Linked DNA regions of Canis lupus familiaris. The protein of the gene in region 1 purifies or fractionates together with the protein of each later gene. This does not show direct contact. Links are inferred from orthologs where the notes say so. Each region holds a gene or a part of one and is shown in the gene's direction. Other genes may lie near its edges.

The links. The genes of interacting proteins can lie anywhere in the genome.
Region 2: the proteins of methylosome subunit pICln-like (region 1) and GAR1 purify together in Homo sapiens (affinity purification with mass spectrometry; 3 studies listed by BioGRID and IntAct, counting the BioPlex papers as one, with this or other methods). This does not show direct contact. The link is inferred for Canis lupus familiaris from reciprocal best matches to the Homo sapiens genes CLNS1A and GAR1.

What each region holds. Positions count from the first base shown.
Region 1 is NC_049260.1:41,160,813-41,170,807, reverse strand, and holds methylosome subunit pICln-like, read left to right. Parts: upstream 1-5,359; coding exon 5,360-5,476; intron 5,477-5,634; coding exon 5,635-6,156; 3' UTR 6,157-6,903; downstream 6,904-9,995. UniProt on the Homo sapiens protein: Involved in both the assembly of spliceosomal snRNPs and the methylation of Sm proteins.
Region 2 is NC_049253.1:9,890,703-9,900,774, reverse strand, and holds part of GAR1 (H/ACA ribonucleoprotein complex subunit 1), read left to right. Parts: intron 1-5,368; exon of another isoform or gene 5,369-5,890; intron 5,891-5,925; exon of another isoform or gene 5,926-5,979; intron 5,980-6,012; exon of another isoform or gene 6,013-6,219; intron 6,220-6,329; 5' UTR 6,330-6,340; coding exon 6,341-6,536; intron 6,537-7,997; coding exon 7,998-8,152; intron 8,153-8,609; coding exon 8,610-8,669; intron 8,670-10,072. UniProt on the Homo sapiens protein: Required for ribosome biogenesis and telomere maintenance. Part of the H/ACA small nucleolar ribonucleoprotein (H/ACA snoRNP) complex, which catalyzes pseudouridylation of rRNA.

The sequences.
Region 1 (9,995 bases):
AATGCGTACGTTTAAAAGAGAAAAGTCTCAAAAAGTCTAAGGTCGCACCTCAAAAATCTAAGAAAAAAGACCATATTAAGGATATGTTGTTTAAAGGTACAAACTTGAAACTAGTAGATAAATAAGTACTAGAGAGCTAACGCACAGCAAGTTGATGATACAATACAATATTATAAACTTCAAAGTTGCTTTTTCTTAAGATTTTATTTATTTATTCATGAGAGACACAGAGAGAGAGAAAAAGGCAGAGACACAGGCAGAGGGAGAAACAGGCTCCTTGCAGGGAACCCAATGTGGGACTCGATCCCAGGACCCTGGGATCACGTCCTGAGCCCAAGGAAGACGTTCAACCACTGAGCCACCCTAGGCATCCCTCAAAGTTGTTTTTTAAAGATTTATTCATTTATTCATTTATTTGAGAAAGAGAGGGTACAAGGTAGGGGGAGGGGGAGCAGGAGAGGGAGAAGCAGACTCCCAGCTGAGCAGGGAGCCCAACTCAGGGCTCCATCCCAGTACCCTGAGATCATGACCTGAGCCAAAGGCAGATGCTTAACCAACTGAGTCACCCAGGCACCCCAAACTTCAAAATCGTCAAGAAACTAGACCTAAATTGTTCCCACCACAAAAAAGAAATGATAATTATGCAATGAGATAGAGATGTTAGCAAACACAATAGTAATCATATTGCAATATATAAATGCATCAAATCAGTATGTGTATACCTCAGGGGATCCCTGGATGGCTCAGCGGTTGGGCGTCTGCCTTCGGCCCAGGGCATAGTCCAGGAGACCCGGGATCGAGTCCCGTGTAAGGCTCCCTGCATGGAGCCTGCTTGTGTCTCTGCCTCTCTCTCTCTCTCTCTCTCTCTCATGAATAAATAAATAAAATCTTTAAAAAAAATAAAAATAAACCAATATGTGTACACCTCAAACTTATATGTTATATAACAATTATATTTTAGTTTTTTAAAAAGACCAAAATAAACCCAGAGCAAGCAGAAGGAAATAGAAAAGAGCAGAAATTAATAAAGTTGAAAACAGAAAAATAATAGATAAAAATCAATGAAACAAAGAGGTGGCTCTTTGAAAAGATCAATAAAATTGAGAAACTTCTGGCAAGACTGAAAAAAAGAGAAAAATCAAATTACCAATATCAGGAATGAAACAAAGGATATCACTAAAGACCCTGCAGACACCAAAAGGATGAAGCAAATATAAACAACTCTTCATATATACATTTGATAATTTAGATGAAATGGACTGATTCTTTAAAAAAACAAAACAACAACAACAAAAAAAACCAACTACCACAAATTGACTGATATGAAATGGATAATTTGAATAGCCCTAAAACAACTAAGGAAATTTAATCCATAATTTAAAACTCACCAAAAAAGAAATCAGTCGATCAATGAATCTGTGGCCTAGATGGTTTTCCTGGAGAATTTTACCAAATTTTTTTTTTTTAAAGATTCTGTTTTATTCATGAGAGACAGAGAGAGAGGCAGAGACATAGGCAGAGAGAAAAGCAGGCTCCATGCAGGGAGCCTGATGGGCACTCCATCCTGGGGCCCCAGGATCATGCCAGAAGCTGAAGGCAGATGCTCAATCGCTGAGCCACTCAGGGGTCCCTTACCAAATTCTTTTAAAGAATTAACACTGGCGGGGATCCCTGGGTGGTGCAGCGGTTTGGCGCCTGCCTTTGGCCCAGGGCACGATCCTGGAGACCCGGGATCGAATCCCATGTCGGGCTCCCGGTGCATGGAGCCTGCTTCTCCCTCGGCCTATGTCTCTGCCCCTCTCTCTCTCTCTCTGTGTGTGACTATCATAAATAAATAAAAATTAAAAAAAAAAAAAAAAAAAGAATTAACACTGGCGGCCCAGGTTTAGCGCCGCCTTCGGCCCAGGTTGTGATCCTGGAGACCCGGGCTCCCTGCATGGAGCCTGCTTCTCCCTCTGCCTATGTCTCTGCCTCTCTCTCTCTCTCTCATGAATAAATAAATAAAATCTTTAAAAAAATTAACACCAATTACAACACCTCTTACAGGAAAAAGAAGAGGAAGTGATTCTTCCAAACTCATTCTAGGATGCTAGCATTTGCCTGTGACAGGCTAAAAAGGGACCCCCCCACACACAAAGATATTCACATCCTAATCCTGGCAACCTGTGAATATCACCTTTATAGGGCAAGAACAAAAGAGTCTTTGCAGATGTGATTAAGGATCTTGAGATGAGTACCCTGAATTATCCAGGTGGGTCCTAAATGCAATCACATGTATCCCGATAAGAGAGAGGCAAAAGAACTTGACACACACAGACACAGAAGGCAGTGATGTGAAGACAGAGTCAAGAGATTTGAAGATGCTGGCCATTAAGAATAAAACGATGAAGCCAAGGAATAGCTGCAGCCAGCCAGAAGCTAGAAGAGAGGCAAGGAATAGATTCTCCCCTAAAGGCTCCGGAGGGAGTACAGACAGCCCTGCCAAAACCTTTATTTTGGCCCAAGGATACTTACTTTGGACTTAAGGCCTCCTTAAGAACTATGAGAGAATCAATTTCTGTTATTCTAAGCCACCAAGTTTGTGGTGATTTGTTGCAGAAAACACATGAAACTAATACATTCCCTGATTACAAAATCAGACAAATACAATATAAAAAAGAAAACTACACACCAATATCACTCATGAATATGTAGGAAAAAATTCTTGATAAAATATTAGCAAATATAATTCAACAATATATTAAAAGAATTATACACCATGACCAACTGGGGTTTACTCCAGGAATGCAAGGCAGGTTCCACATTCAAAAATCAATCCATGTGAGGGACGCCTGGGTGGCTCAGCAGTTGAGCATCTGCCTTTGGCTCAGGACGTGATCCCAGAGTCCTGGGATCGAGTCCCACATAGGGCTCTCTGCATGGAGCCTGCTTCTCCTTCCTCTTCCTATGTCTCTGCCTCTCTCTGTGTGTCTCTCATGAATAAATAAATAAAATATTTTTAAAAAATCAATCCATGGGCAGCCCGGGTGGCTCAACAGTTCAGCGCCGCCTTCTGCCCAGGGTATGATCCTGGAGACCTGGGATCGAGTCCCACGTCGGGCTCCCTGCATGGAGCCTGCTTCTCCCTCTGTCTGTGTCTCTGCCTCTCTCTCTCTGTGTGTCTCTCATGAATGAATAAAAAAAGAAAAATAAACCCATGTAATTCACATTAACAGGATCTTAAAAATTACATGATAACCAATGTAAAAAAATTTTTGACAAAATTCAACACTCATTTCCGCCAAAAATATGAACAGAAACAGGAATAGACAGGAACTTCTTCAACTTGATAAAGAGCATCTAAACCAAAACTACAACTCATATTATATTTAATGGTGAAAGACAATATTAACAGCAGGCAAGAATATCCAAGGGGCATCCCGGGTGGCTCAGTGGTTTAACGCCACCTTCAGCCCAGGGCCTGATCCTGGAGACCCGGGATCGAGTCCCACATCAGGCTCCCTGCATGGAGCCTGCTTCTCCCTCTGCCTGTGTCTCTGTCTCTCTCTATGTGTGTCTCTCATGAATAAATTTAAAAAATCTTAAAAAAAAAAAAAGAATATCCATTCTCACAATTCTTATTCAACATAGTGCTAGAAGTTCTAATAATGTAAAATTAGGCAAGAAATGGAAATGACAGGTATACAAAATAAAAAAGAAAAAAGCCCCTATTTATAAATGAAATGATTACCTATGAAGAAAAATCACCAAAAAATCTCTAAAAACATAAAAACCTCAGGACGCCTGGGTGGCTTGGCAGTTGAGCATCTATCTGCCTTCAGCTCAGGGCATGATCCCGGAGTCTGGGATCAAGTCCCACATCGGGCTCCTTGTGGGGAGCCTGCTTTTCTCTCTGCCTGTGTCTCTGCCTCTCTCTGTGCCTTTCATGAATAAATAAATAAATAAATCTTTAAAAATAATAATAATAAAATAAAATAAAAATAAAAACCTCCTGGAGCTAATAATTGAATTCAATGAAGTCACAGGAAACAGGATACAATACAAAAACCCACTGTATTTGTTTGCAATGAAAATGTGGACTTCAAAATTTAAAATATAAAATCATTTATAATCACTTAGAAATATGAAATACTCAAGTATAAATCTAACAAAACATGTAGAAAACTTATAAATCAATAACAACATGCTAGCAATCATAAAAAAAAAAAGGACAGGACTGGAGGCATTGTGCTGATTTCAAACTATCATACAAAAGCTATATAGTAATCAAAACAATATGGTATTGGCATAAAAACAGACACATAAGTTAACAGAATAGAACAGAGAACTCAGAAATAAACCCATGCATATATGGCCAATTAATTTATGACAAAGGACCCAAGAACTTTCAATGAGGAAAGGACAGTCTCTTCAATAAATGGCATTGGAAAAATTAGACAGCCAGTGCAGAAAAATGAAACTGGGGACCACTAGCTTATATCATACACAAAAATCAACTCAGAATGGATTAAAGACTTGAACCTAAGACCTTAAGCCAAAAAATCCAAGAAAACATAGGCAGTAAGCTCCCTGACAGTCTTGGTGATGCTTTTTTGGATTTAATACCAAAAGCAAAGGCAACAGAAGCAGACAAACAAATGGGACGACATCCAACTAAAAAGCTTCTGCACAGCAAAGGAAACTACCAACTAAATGAAAAGGCAACCTACTGAAGGGTAGAATATATTTGTAAATCATATATCTGATAAGGGGCAATATCCAAAATATATAAGGAACCCATACAATTCAATAGCAAAAATAAATAAATACTTATTTAAAAACGGGCAGAGGGGGATCCCTGGGTGGCGCAGCGGTTTAGCGCCTGCCTTTGGCCCAGGGCGCGATCCTGGAAACCTGGGATCGAATCCCACGTCGGGCTCCCGGTGCATGGAGCCTGCTTCTCCCTCTGCCTATGTCTCTGCCTCTCTCTCTCTCTCTCTCTCTCTCTCCCCCATCCTCTCTCTCTGTGTGACTATCATAAATAAATAAAAATTTAAAAAAATAAAAAAAATAAAAAAATAAAAAAATAAAAACGGGCAGAGGGATGCCTGGGTGGCTCAGCAGTTGAGTGCATCTGCCTTCGGTTCAGGGCATGATCCCAGGGTCCTGGGATTGAATCCCACATCAGGTTCCCTGCATGGAGCCTGCTTCTCCCTCTGCCTATGTCTCTGCCTCTCTCTTTCTGTGTCTCTCATGAATAGATAAATGATCTTTCAAAGAAGACATGCAGATGGCCAACAAATACATGAAAATATCCCAACATCGGGAGTCGCCGTGCGGCAGCTCCCTCCTGGCCTATGTCTCCGCGCTCCCTGCCGCAATGAGCTTCCTCAAAAGTTTCCCGCTGCCCCGCTCGGCCGAGGGGCTTCGGCAGCAGCAGCCCAAGACCGAGGCTGTGCTGAAGGGCAAGGGCCTCGGCACCGGCACGCTCTACATCGCGGAGAGGTTTTGAGTCTCCGGCCCCTGAGTGAGAATCATCAATGTGCCTGTCTCTTCTGTGAAAAGGTGTGGGAGGTGTTGCTCTTGGCAAGATATCCACCTGTCTTGGTTAGATGGCTCTGGATTAGGATTCTCACTGGAATACCCCACCATTAGCTTGCATGCGATGTCCAGGGACCTAAATGCCTATCCACAGAGCATTTGTATGTTATGGTGAATGCTAAATTTGGAGAAGAATCAAAAGAATCTGTTGCTGAAGAAGAAGACAGTGATGATGATGTTGAACCTATTGCTGAATTTAGATTTGTGCCTAGTGATAAATCAGCATTGGAGGCAATGTTCACTGCAATGTGTGAATGCCAGGCTTTGCATCCTGATCCTGAGGATGAAGATTCAGATGATTACGATGGAGAAGAATATGATGTGGAAGCACATGAACAAGGGCAGGGGGACATCCCTACATTTTATACCTATGAAGAAGGATTATCCCATTTAACAGCAGAAGGCCAAGCCACCTTGGAGAGATTAGAAGGAATGCTTTCTCAGTCTGTGAGCAGCCAATATAACATGGTTGGAGTCCGGACAGAAGATTCAATCAGAGATTATGAAGATGGGATGGAGGTAGACACTACACCAACAGTTGCTGGACAGTTTGAGGATGCAGATGTTGATCACTGAAGATGATTTATGCTGCTGTGGGATTCTGCTCATAACTAGGAAAGAACTAAAGAACTTGGTGCCTCTTCTACTGTGGAGTGGGTGTTGATGAAAGTCTTTTTCCTTCTCCAAAATTTACCTGAACCAGTTCTTTTTTTGAGACAGACTATATACTGAGACAAAAAGTTGTCACCAGCAGAAGAAACTATGACCTTTATTAACAAAGGTGAATTAACTTAACCAAGAGGGTATTTGTAGTTTATCATCTACCCAAAACTTTTGTGTATAGGTATCCTCTGAGTAGGCCTATAGTTCCTGCTTTCACTATATGCATCTTCTGTAACCTGGCAGGCCTATGTGGTGAGAATGCGCAGGTACTTGAAGACATAGGTAGACTGGATGGGAAGGAAGGAGGCTGAATCTAAGATATATCCTTTAGAGCCTAAGGATTCCCTTACCCCTTAAAAAGAAAGACAAAGAGATCTCAGAGAAATCCTGGCCACTGCTTGTTCTTCACAGGGATTAAGGTCTTTTTACTAATTTGGGATCCAGGTTAATTCATTTAGGCATCTTTAGAGAGCCTCTTGGGAAATATCCTAGCCACATGAAATACCACTAATATGGATGCTTCTGATTAGCTTTTACTTCTTTCACCATGTTTCACCAGTCTGTTTTGTTATAACCTCTTAGGTTATAGCCTTTAATTTCTAACCTCTTAGGTCAGTTTCCATAACAAATGAAATTGGGACGAAGTCCTCACAGTACTTCAATGATAATTGTTTTGTCTTTGTAATAGTTTAACAAATAAGTCTAGGTTTTCTATTAAAAAGAAAAAAGAAAAAAGAAAATATCCCAACATCACTAATTTAGGGGCACCTGGCTGGCTTAGTCTGTAGAGCATGTGATTCTCGATCTCAGGGTTGAGTTTAAGCCCCACACTGGGCATGGAGCCCACTGGAAAAAAAAAAAAATCACTAATCTAATCATTGGAGAAATGCAAAATAAAACCAGAGTGAGACATCACCCCACACCTGTTAGAATGGCTAGTATCAAAAAGACAAGAAATAACAAGTGTTGGTGAGGATGTGAAGAAAAGGGAACACTTGTGCACTGTTGGTCGAACAGAAACTGGTACAGCTGCCGTGGAAAACAGTATGAAGTTTCCTAAAAAAATTAAATCTAGAACTATCATATCATCCAGCAATGCCACTTCTGAGTATTTATTCAAAGTGGAATAAAGCAGTAACAAAGAAAAAAAAAAAACAGTAACAAAGAAATATATGCACCCCCATGTTAATTGCCACATTATTTGCAATAGCCAAAATATGGAAGCGATCTAAGTGTCTATTAACAGATGAATGGATAATGAAAATATGGGGTGTGTATGCGATATACACACAATAGAATATTATTCAGCCATAAAAGAAAAGGGAAATCTTGCTATCTGCAAGAATATGGATATACCTTGAAGGCATTCTGCTAAGTGAAATAAGGGAAATATAAAAAATAGTGAAAGGGAAAAAAGGGGAAAGGATAGAAAATGAGTGGGAAAGATCAGTGAGGGTGACAGAACATGAGAGACACCTAACTCTGGGAAATGAACAAGGGGTGGTGGAAGGGGAGATGGGTGGGGGCTTGGGGTGACTGGGTGATGGACACTGAGGGGGACACTTGACGGGATGAGCACTGGGTGATATGCTATATATTGGCAAATTGAACTCCAATAAAAAATATTTAAAAATATATTAAAATGCAAAAAAAGAAAGAAAGACAAACACTGTATGAGGTCACTTATATGTGGGTTCTAAAAACAAAACAAAACAACAAAAAACAAGTTCATAGTACAGAGAACAGATTGGTGGATGCCAGATATGGGGCAAAATGGGGGAAGGGAGTCAAAAGGTACAAACTTCATTATAAAATAAATTACGGGGATCCCTGGGTGGCGCAGCGGTTTGGCGCCTGCCTTTGGCCCAGGGCGCGATCCTGGAGACCCGGGATCGAATCCCACATCGGGCTCCCGGTGCATGGAGCCTGCTTCTCCGGTGCATGGAGCCTGCTTCTCCCTCTGCCTATGTCTCTGCCTCTCTCTCTTTCTCTCTCTGTGACTATCATAAATAAATAAAAAATTTAAAAAAAAAGTCTTAAAATAAATTACGTCATGGGGATGTAATGTACAGCATGGCAACTATAGTTAATTAAACTGTATTGCATATTTAAAAGTTGCTATGAGACTAAATCTTAAAAGCTCTCACCACAAGAAAAAAATTAATAACTATATATGGTGATGGATATTAACTAGCCTTATTGTGGTGATCATTTTGCAATACATACAAATATCGAATGATTATGTTGTATACCTGAAATTAATATAATGTTGAAGTCAAGAATACCTCAATTTAAAAAGAGCATGGTAGGGATGACTGGGTGGCCCTGCAGTTGAGCGTCAGCTTCAACTCAGGACGTGATCCCGGGATCTGGGATTGAGTCCTGAATCGGACTCCTGCATGGAGCCTGCTTCTCCTTCCCCTGCCTATGTCTCTGCCTTTCTCTATATCTCTCATGAATAAATAAATAAAATCTTTTTAAAAAAGAACAACACGGGATCCCTGGGTGGCGCAGTGGTTTAGCGCCTGCCTTTGGCCCTGGGCATGATCCTGGAGACCTGGGATCGAATCCCATGTTGGGCTCCCGGTGCATGGAGCCTGCTTCTCCCTCTGCCTATGTCTCTGCCTCTCTCTCTCTCTCTGTGTGACTATCATAAATAAATTAAAAAAAAAATTTTTAAAAAAAAGAACAACATATTGGAGAAAGAATAGACAATTTTATCAGTGGAACAAACAGAAAGAAAGTAGACCTGAGCGCCTAGGTGGATCAGTCGGTTAAGCATCTGACTCTTCGTTTCAGCTCAGGTCATGATCTCAAGGTCTTCAGATCAAGGTCTGCATCAGGCTCCACGCTCAGTATCAGTCTGCTATCCCTCTCCCTACACTGCCCCCCCACCGCATCGCTTGCACAATTGTGCACACTCTCTCTCTCTCAAATAAATAAAATATTTAAAAAGAAACAGGAGGGATCCCTGGGTGGCGCAGCGGTTTGGCGCCTGCCTTTGGCCCAGGGCGCGATCCTGGAGACCTGGGATCGAATCCCACGTCGGGCTCCCGGTGCATGGAGCCTGCTTCTCCCTCTGCCTGTGTCTCTGCCTCTCTCTCTCTCTGTGACTATCATAAATAAATAAATTTTAAAAAAAAAATTTAAAAAAATAAAAAAAAAAAGAAACAGGAAAAAAGAAAAAGAAAAAGGAAATAGACCCACACAAATATAATCAACTGATCTTGGACAAAGGAGAAAAAGCAATTCAATGGAGAAAATAAATAGTGCTGAAACGACTGGACATCCATATGCAAACAAAAAAACTAGACTCGGTCCTTTTATCTTTCACAAAAATTAACTCTAAATGGATCTTAGACCTATATGCAAAATGTAGAACTATAAAACTTCTACAAGATAATAAGAGAAAATCTAAGTGACTTGGGTTTGAAAATGTTTTAAAATACAACACCAAAATTACGATTCATGAAAGGAAAACTGACAAGTGGGACTTTATTAAAATTTTAAAATTCTGCTCTATGAAAGACACCATTAAGAAAATAGACAAGTCACAGAATGAAAGAAAATATTTACAGAACACACATCTGATAAAGGACTTGTATTTAAAACATATAAACAATTCTTAAAACTCAACAATAACAAAATAAACAACCCAATTTAAAAATGGATAAAAGAGGGACGCCTGGGTGGCTCAGTGGTTGAGGGTCTGCCTTTGGCTCAGGGCGAGATCCCAGAGTCCTGGAATCGAG
Region 2 (10,072 bases), on another chromosome or scaffold:
TCAACTGAGACAGTCAGGTGCCCTGAGCCCGTATCCCATTCTTGGGGCAACTTACTTCAGCATTTGTTCCAAGATAAAGTCTACAGAAGGCTCTCTGCCCAACAGGTTCTAACTTAGCAGTTCCTGAGTGGATAGTGAGGCAGGAGAAGCAAAGAAGCATTCCAGGTATATACAACTTCATGGGGTTCAGGAAGTCTCTGCATTTGAAAAATAAGCCATAGGAAAGCTTCTGAGGCCTCACATCCCACTGTATCCCTCTCCTGCACAATCATCCACGCAGGGATCCTAACAAGGATCTATACAACCAGAATTTACAAGAAAAAGAAAAAGAAAGATTAACTTCATTTATGACTATAGGTGCAAAAAGTCCAAGTAAAATGTCAGCAAATTGATACAAACAAAATCTTAAAAAGGATTCAGCAGTCTGTAATTAATAACATCAACACTTGACATCTATTTTATGCACACACACAAACGCACATATGTCTGTAGGTTCAAGTAAATACGTGGGCTGTCATAATTATTATTTTTTAAAATTTATTTATAAAAAAGAGAGAGAGAGAGACAGGCAGAGTCCCCCCCATGCAGGGAGCCTGACGTGGGACTTGATTCCAGGTCTCCAGGATCATGAAGGTGGTGCTAAACCACTGAGCCACTTGGGCTGCCCTCAAAGCAACCTTAAAAGTCATTTTGAAATAGTCTGGGAAAATTCTACATGGACTGTTACTAGCTGATACTAAGGAATTATTACTTTAGTTAACTGTGATAATGGTATTGTGATTATGTTTAGAAAGTCCTCTGGGAAAAAAAAAGTCCTCTGGTGGAGATTTATGGATGAAATGCTATGTGAAGCTTACCACAAAATACTCTAGCCCCCCCCCATACATACATACATATATATATATATATATAGAAAAATATATAATAGTAATTTATAAATAATTATAAGATAATAAAATATTTTGGAATTACAAATTTAAGAATATTTATTTTTAAAATAAAATATTTTAAGGATGCCTGGGTAGCTCAGTGGTTATGTATCTGCCTTTTGCTCGGGGCATGATCCTGGGTCCGAGGATTGAATCCCATGTCAGGTTCCCTGTGGGGTGCCTGTTTTTCCCTCTGTCAATGTCTCTGCCTCTGTTTCACTTATGAATGAATAAAATCTAAAAAAAAAATAAGTTTATATGCATAATTTATAATTATATATATTATAATAATGAAGGGATAGATGAAACAAGATTTGCAAAATGCTGGTAATTGTTGAAACTGAATTATGAGGTTTGTTATACCGCTCTCTGTGAACTTTTATGTTTGAAATTTTAATAATAAGTTTTAAAAAAGAAAGTCATGAGTTCATATTGTTTCCAATTTACAGTCAACTTTGGCTAAGTCCTTAGAACATCTTGTTCTAGTATAAGGTTTTTCAGCCCTTTCTCTTCTCTGTTGTTTAGAATATCTCCTTACCAAGTATTTTAATTAGATTCCCTAACTTTTCAGTAGCACAAATGGATGTATGCTACTTATATGCTTTCTTTTTCCCTCCATTTTTTTTTTTAAAGATTTTATTTATTTATTCGAGAGAGAGAGAGAGAGAGAGAGAGAGGCAGACACACAGGCAGAGGGAGAAGCAGGCTTCCTGTAAGGAGCCTGATGTGGGACTCAATCCTGGATCCCGGGATCATGCCCTGAGCTGAAGGCAGATGCTCAACCGCTGAGCCACCCAGGCATCCCCCTCCATTTCTTTTATAATCTCTTTGTCCATTATTCTGTAGTCACTTTGTTGACAAACACAATAAATGGTCAGAAATTCAAATTATAAAGTTCAGTTTAGTTCAGGTAACAAATACTTATTGGGCATTTTTTTTTTTTTTTTTATAGGCACTGTGCTAAATGCTTAGGATTCCAAAACAAACTGTAGTGTCCATTCTTCGGGAACTTAGAATCTAGTGTAGATTTCTCAGTTGGGTTCTGTAGATGCCGTTAGGAATTCTGTGAGAAGTCACTAGGAATTCAAAAAAAAAAAGAAAGGGGAAAATTTTTAATTTTTTTGACTTTCCTTCTCCATGCAATGCCAGTACTTGCAGTAATGAAAAGTGATCAAGCAGCTCTGTTAGTAATTTTGCTAGAGACTTTTCAGCTATATGGCAGTGTCTGCATGACTATGTCCATTTGGTAGAGTCCACTCTGTTTTTGATGTGAGATAGGGGATGCTATTGATAATTAGTGAGTGCTGAATTGTACTGAGAGGGTAGTGATAGGTTGATGGCATCAGCTTCTCCCTCTTGAACTGTATCATCTCCTTATCCTTCCTCAGCCTCTCCATACCCACAGCTACCAGAGAGCAAACAAACTTTCCCTGATATGATTAAAAAAAAAAAATCAAGGAGTAAATTCTAAGTAAAGCTATGACTCAGATGCCTCCCTGTTGTTTTGTAATTTTGTGATTGCAAAACATGGAGCTTGTCATTAAGAGTGAATTATAAAGATTTCATTTTTCCTTTCTGATTTCCTTGTGTAGTTTTCTTGTTTTACACTTTGTTAGAAACTGTTTTACAAACACGACTTAAAGTCCAATGTGATGATCTCAAGGTCGTGAGATTGAGCCGCACGTACTCAACCAATTCAACAAGGTCATGTAAGGAAAAAATGTCTCCTAAGTAGGCTAGTTTCTGCAGCCATTCTTGATCTTCAAAGAATTTGGCAAAATCTCGCCTATTTTCTTGGAAGTATTACCACAGTCCACTTCTCAGCGCAAACATCCTGTTTGCGCTGAGAACCAAAATCTGTATTAGTTTTTCTTATTGTGTAACAAATTAGAACCAAAATCTGTATTAGTTTCTCTTATTGTGTAACAAATTAGATTGATAACAATGATAGAGCAGAGTACTCAGAGGTCTGAGTCCAAAGATTCAGAAACCAAGGGTATGGTGCTATCATGAAGACTAACAGGGAACGGGAATGACGCACAATTTGGGAAGAATAAGAGATGAGGGTTGGGACCGAAAAGGACTGAAAACTCTGAGACTCTAGGGTTCTACTTTGTTCCTCTAAGTGGCTGAAGTTACTTCACGTCTCTGAATGTTACTTTCTTGCTGTCAAGAAGTAAAATAAAGGGGTACCAGGTAATCCTGAAGGTCTTATAAAACTTCAATAATTTTTATCACAGTGAGTTAGAAATAAAAGCGGACCCCAAATGGAGCTAAACGCTGAACATAAAAGTTAAATGAAGCAAAGCAAAATAGGGCAGGGCCGTTATGAATAATATTCTTCATGATATACAGTATTTAAAATACATTTACCAAATATGAATAAAAATACATTTATCAAGTTCCTTTTATATCTAGGCTTCTTAGGGGCTTAGAATAGTGCAGAAAACATATTGTGATTCCTAGTGATGAGGGAACAGAAGGCTAGCTGAGGACAAAGCACAAGCTCACACCCTGCAACACCCCCCTTCCACTCCTAGGTGGGAATATATGTGACTTTCCCCCAGGAAGTTCCCAAGTATCTTAATGTTAATGCCCCGCTAGAGGAAAAACAACTTAACTTTGATGTAGGAAGGAGCGGCAAATGGGGCTAGGCAGGGAAAGTTAAGGGAAAGGCTGAGAATCAAGCTCCCAGAAATCTGTGGGTTCCCATAAACGAAAGGTCCAGAGTCAGGCTCCCACCCATCCCAAGAAAACAAAGACAGTAAAAACAGAGAAAAATAATAAACCTGGCTTCCTAGCTCCAAAATGTTGGGGAGTATCTCCCTTTGATGGTTACTAAGTAATCACGGAAACTCACAAGACCACAAAGAAGTCAGTCATTATGGTGTTATCAATACTCTCTGATCAATCCAAGACTGCACAAGAATCTCAAGGCCACTGGGCTCCCTGGCCCGGTTCTCAATCAAAGACTGCCACTAAAAGCCCTGTGGCAATCCTGTGGGGACCCCTCTGGCTTCTGAGAACTTTCTCTGTACCTCTGCTTACTAAACTTTTATCGCTTTGCTCACTCTCTATTGTCCATGAGATTCATTCTTCAACTCCATGAGGCAAGAACCAAGCTCTCTCATATCAACTTGACAACTGCAAGGCCTCCAGTATCTTACAGGTCCTCCCCAACATACGGAAATCTTTTTGAAACTTCCCTTTTCCTTACCTTCAACTCCCAGGTATATAATCAGCCAGCCCTCACTAGCCGGGGGGCAGCAGCACTCTTCCTGCCTGTGGGTCCTGCCCCCATGCTTTAAAAAAAACAAAACAAAACAAAACAAAACAAAACAAAACAAAACAAAACCACCATTTTGCACCAAAGACGTCTCAAGAATTCTTTCTTGGTGGTTGGCTCTGGACTTCACCCCAGCAAACCTCACCTATATTTCCAAAACTACATCACTAGTATTCCCATAGCGAAGCTCACAAAGTTCTTCCCAATTACATCAGCCCTCTGAAGCAGGTACCAATCCCCACCCTTTCAAAGAAGAGGAGGTGGACTGTGTCAAATACCAAAGGAAGGAAGGTCTCGAAAGATTCCAGTATAAAAGAGACCAACCAAATTTAACAAATAGGAGATCACTAGCTTTCCTTGGTAGAGAAATCTCACCGGAAGCTTAAATTAGGTATGAAGGTCTTAAAGGAAAAAAAGGATAGAGGGGCTTGTAGCATAGATGGTCCACGGCCTGTGTCAGTGCTCAAAACCTACTCTCCAGGGACCCCTGGCTGGCTCAGTCAGAAGAGCCTGACACTCTTCCGCTCCCAGCTGTGAGTCCCAGCCCTATGTTGGGTGTAGAGATCGCCTAACTAAAAGGTAAAAAAAAAAAAAAAAAAAAGGCCCCGGTGGCTCAGCAGTTTAGCGCCGCCTGCAGCCCAGGGCGTGATCCTGGAGATCTGGGATCGAGTCCCATGTCGGGCTCCCTGCATGGAGCCTGTTTCTCCCTCTCATGAATGAATAAATGAAATCTTTAAAATAATTTTTTTAAAAATACGGCTTCGCTTTTTGTTACATAAAATATACTTTTAAAGAAAAAACATTTTTATTTATTTTATTTTTAGTAAAAAAAAACATTTTTTAAAATTTTTTTTTATTTATTTATGATAGTCACAGAGAGAGAGAGAGAGAGAGAGAGAGAGGCAGAGACACAGGCAGAGGGAGAAGCAGGCTCCATGCACCGGGAGCCCGACGTGGGATTCGATCCCGGGTCTCCAGGATCGCGCCCTGGGCCAAAGGCAGGCGCCAAACCGCTGCGCCACCCAGGGATCCCCCCCAAAAAAAAACATTTTTAAAGAAAAGAACACACGTGCACGCACGTCCCCCCTTCCTTTAACGAAGCGTAACGACGGGACAAAAGGACCGCCCCGGTTCACCTCACAGTCGAGCTTACCTCAAAAGGTCCGGAAGAAACACACGCGCTCAGAAGAACGCAGGAAGCCCTGCGCGGGTTGCGACCCCACCAGATCCACCCCTGCGTACAGCGCAGCTGCAAACTCAGAGACGGGGCAGTACAGTTGCTGGGGCTGGCGACGAACTAACGAACGAGGAGACCATTCTGCAGCCTGAGAAGCCAGGGCTCCCCACCAGCTCCCAGCCACCTGGAACCGCCAGGTCCCCGGGAGAGGGGGGCGGAACTCTCACGCCAACCATCTCCCGGGGCAACAGCGCGGCCGCACTTCCGGCAACTTCTCGAGTCAACGGACGCCACTATTATACGTCATTTCCTCCGCTCCTCGTAGGCAAACGGACGCGACTGCCGTAAACTACTGTTTGACGGTGGGTAGTAGCGCCGCTCTTCCAGCGCTGAAGGCCGTTTTGGAAATGGGACAGCGCCCCCGGTTCTGCCGGTGACTGGCTTTTTTTGTAAATCAGTCGTTCGAATTTCTTGTCGCTCCCCGCCACCTTTGTGCGGGTACGGTGGCCGAGGAGGCTCGTTCACGGCGGAAGTACCGGGCTGGCGGGTGGGTGGGGGCAGCGGGGCCGGAGGTGCACGTGGCTCCGGTGCGTTGCGGTGGCGAGCAGAGGGGTCTGAGGATGTCTGGACGCGGGACCCAGCTACGGAGGGAGGGGGGAAGGAAGGGAATGTGGCGTGAAGACCTTTCTGCCTGCTGGGGGAGGAGATACTGACCGGGGGCGGAGAGGCTGGTGAGCGGTCGGTCCGCGCGCACAGGGCAACGGGAAGGTGACACGCCTCACCCTCGGGTTCATCTCTGGCGGCTTGGCCTTGGGCGAGGTGGCAAGGTTGCTGTACTTCTTACTGTCCCGCTGTATGATGTTCTGACCGTGGCACAGAGGGTGGTGCACCCAGAGGCCACAATGACCAAAAAGATACGTACTGTTTTTCTTACCAGGTAGAGTAAGCATGTCTTTTCGAGGCGGTGGTCGTGGAGGCTTTAATCGAGGTGGTGGCTTCAGTCGCGGCGGAAGCAACAACCACTTCCGAGGTGGAGGCGGTAATTTCCGAGGCGGCGGTGGTGGTAGAGGAGGATTTGGACGAGGAGGTGGCCGCGGAGGCTTTAACAAAGGCCAAGACCAAGGACCTCCGGAGCACGTAGTTTGTATGTCGGTTTCAAAGCTTAACCTACTTGGGGGCGGAGGTTGTGGGTTTAAGTTTGGGAAATGAGCGTGCTGAAAGGCAGCTCTAGCAGCTCTCCTATGGAAGTTGCTGCTGGGTTGGGGAATCGGGTCTGGAGATGCTGTAAGCTGACTTACAATCGTGTTGTAGCGCTCAAATGTAAAGGGGCGATCAAGAAGGCAGAACAACACTTAGAATGCGTCGTGGAGGTGGAACTTGAGCTTGGGCTGAAAGGAAGTTATTAAGTAGGTAATACTGTGTGTTTATTCCTGTTGTCCCCGTTTTACAGGTAAGAAAACCGTGAGAGTTGAGTTTCTTTGCTAGGGTCGTAGTAATAAGTTTCTTTGCTGGCATCATATTAATAAGTGATCCGTTTGAGCTACAAAGCCACGTTTTCTGACTCCAAAGCCCATGCTCTCCATTGCTTTTCATAAGTAAGAGAAGTGAGGAAAATTGCTTGTTAGGGAATCTACAGAGGGGAGGGAAGCCAAGGAAAAAAAACCTAATGAGAGTAGATTTGAAGTAATTATCAATGAGGTGGGATGGAAGTCCTGGGACGTGAGACAGATTTGATAGTAGAAGCCTACATCAAAAAGGAGAAGTGATGAAGAGAGTGCAACCTCACACTGGTTGGATCAGTGTGCAAAATGGTTTGAAGAGTGCAATGGCTAGAGTCATAGGTCTATGTGAAGTAGCCCACAAGCATGCAACAGTCCGTGCATGATGCACTGTGAGGGTAGTGAAAGTGAGGAGAAAAAAAAGGACGGGTTTGATGGGAGAGCAATTTCAATGGAAATAAATTCAGTAGAACTTGGCTAATTCTTGGGAATAAAAGGTTCCAGGTTTGGATTTTGGGTGATAGGGATGAAGAATTGGTTTTGGAGGGATGTGATGAGTTTTTTAGTTTGGGGTGACGGTCAGAAATAAAGGTAGTTATTTTGGATTCCACGCGTCCCTGAAAAAGAGTGAAGAGTCATTGGTAAAGACGTGGTAGTAGGAGGTTATTAAAGGGAGGAAAAAAGGAGAACAAAGACTGATTTACAATTAGGGACCGGGGAAATGAAGAGACAGAATGTAAGCATGGTGCTTAATAATAATACTTATTGTTATAATAAAACACCTCTTATAGGTTGGATGGCCTCAATGTGCCAGGTACTTTTCTAAGCACCTGACATTTATTATTGTATTTATTCCTCATAGTAATATATATAGGGTGTTGGTATTGCTATTTGCCCTTATTAAGAATAGGACAGTGAATCAGAGAAAAGAATCTTACCCCAGGTCACAGAGCTAATGTGGAGTTTTTGGCTTTTTTTTTTTTTTTTTGCCTCAGAGGAGAACACATAAGTGAAATCCCAGGTACCCAAGAAGAAACTTCCAGATGATGTTGGTCAATATCATTTGAAACTGTTTTACATTTTAACATTTTCTTGTCCTATTTCAGTATTAGGAGAGTTCCTGCATCCCTGTGAAGATGACATAGTTTGTAAATGTACTACAGACGAAAATAAGGTGCCTTATTTTAATGCTCCAGTTTATTTAGAGAACAAAGAACAAATTGGTAAAGTGGATGAAATATTTGGACAACTTAGAGATTTTGTATCCTTTTTCATTAGAAGACCCAGTGATCTCATTAAAAGGTTACCATTTGCTTTTTTCTGGAGCTAAGTATTGTTTTAATTAAACTTCTTGTTTTATTCAATTGGGAGAGAGTATTGGTAAGATTGTAACATAAAGGAGAATCAAGAGAAGAGAATGTATCTCCCCGTATTGAAAAGGAAGACTATAATAGAGTAACTTCCTTTTTGGAAGGTTTAAGAAGTGATTACCATTTGGGTAAGTGCTACAGGATTAAGGTACTTTGCTTTGATTATGATGATGCTACTGGAATAGCGTGGAATTAGAAGTTTTAAAAATAAAAACTTCATTTCCTCTTGGAAACTTATTTCTTACTTTTTCTAGATATTTCCATATAGCTTTGTTTTTAAAATTACATAGGAATTCAGAAGGTTACCTCTTGTGATCTTAATTGCTTATTCCTTAATGTAACTAATAGTATTTTTCTGTTAAATTGTCAGAAAATATGAAGGCATCTTCCTTTAAAAAACTGCAGAAGGTGAGTGAAGCTTCTGATAAGTAGGATCTTTGGTTTTGTAAGTAAATGACCTTCCTTAGGACAGTGCTACTTAGAGCACTTGAACCCTCCAGTATATCACTAGTGAAGCTCTTAAATTGATATGTTCTGTACTTTAAATGTTGAACTTACTGATCCTTAAAAGTAATTTAATACAAGCTTTCAGAAATTACTCTTAGGCAAATTCTGTAACTGCTACAGTATGTTTTTTCATTTCTGCAAGATTCTTACTGAAAGCTTACATGACCAAACTTTCTAAATAAAGCGTTAAATTAGGAAACATTATTTGAGAGAAGTCAGATATTAAATGATTTCACAGATCTTTCAAAACATGATAAATGCTGTGAAGGAGAACTGCAGATTGCCATGAGGATGTTAGTAGTGGGACCATATTTAGTATATTGGCTTTCTGAATAAACTAGAAGCTGAGACCTGGAAGTTGATTAGAGGTGATTTCCAAACCTTGTTGCTCATCACAATATCTAGGGGAGCTTTTAAGGTCATGTATTTCTTGGTCCCACTCTTAGAAATTGGAGCTGGTAAGTCCTCAGATAGGGACCAGGCTTCAATTATAAAAAGGCAGGCTCCTGGATAATTTTGATGTAATTAGATTAGCACTTGGGAACCACTGCTATTCAAACAGGTGGGAAGCACATTATAAGTAGAGAAAACTGTACAGGTCTCTGAGACAGCCAGTTTAAGGATCTGAAAAAGGCTGAAGTGTAGCTTGGACATAGATCATTTAGGAGGGACTAGAGAGGTAGGCAGGGGCAGGGTTACTAAGGCCTTAGGTCATGGGAAAGCATTTAGTTTTAGTTTTGTTTTTAAATATTAGGATAAATACAGTTAAATTATACTTAAAAAGAGCACTAGAAAAATTAAAGAGCACCCTGGAAAGGGGTTAGTACTGTATGTGAAGGGGCCAGGTCAGAGACTGTTGCATCAGTCCCAGAAGAAATGGTGTTTCGGACCAGGGTAATAATGACAGTGGAAATGGAGAAAAGTGGATGGATTTATGAACAATACAGGAAGTAGCATTGATAGATCTTGGTAGTTGATTAACAATTGAAGTTAAAAATATCACCATCTTTCAGATGTCTGATTTCAGATCTTTGTGGATGGTGTCACCATGTACCAAAATGGGAGACACCGGAGAAGAAGGAAATTGGGGGAAGACGATGAATTCACTTTTAGACATGAGGAGTTTGAAGCACTTGTGAGATATTCACATAGGAGCTCAAAGGAAGAGCCTGGATTAGTGATGGGATTGCAGGTTGTCATTGTGCAGATAGTATATGATACAGTCTAGGAAGAAAGAGTAAGAAAAAGAGCTTTGGGGTATCTCCTAAATTTTATATCTATCTGGAGACTAAGAATAACACCAG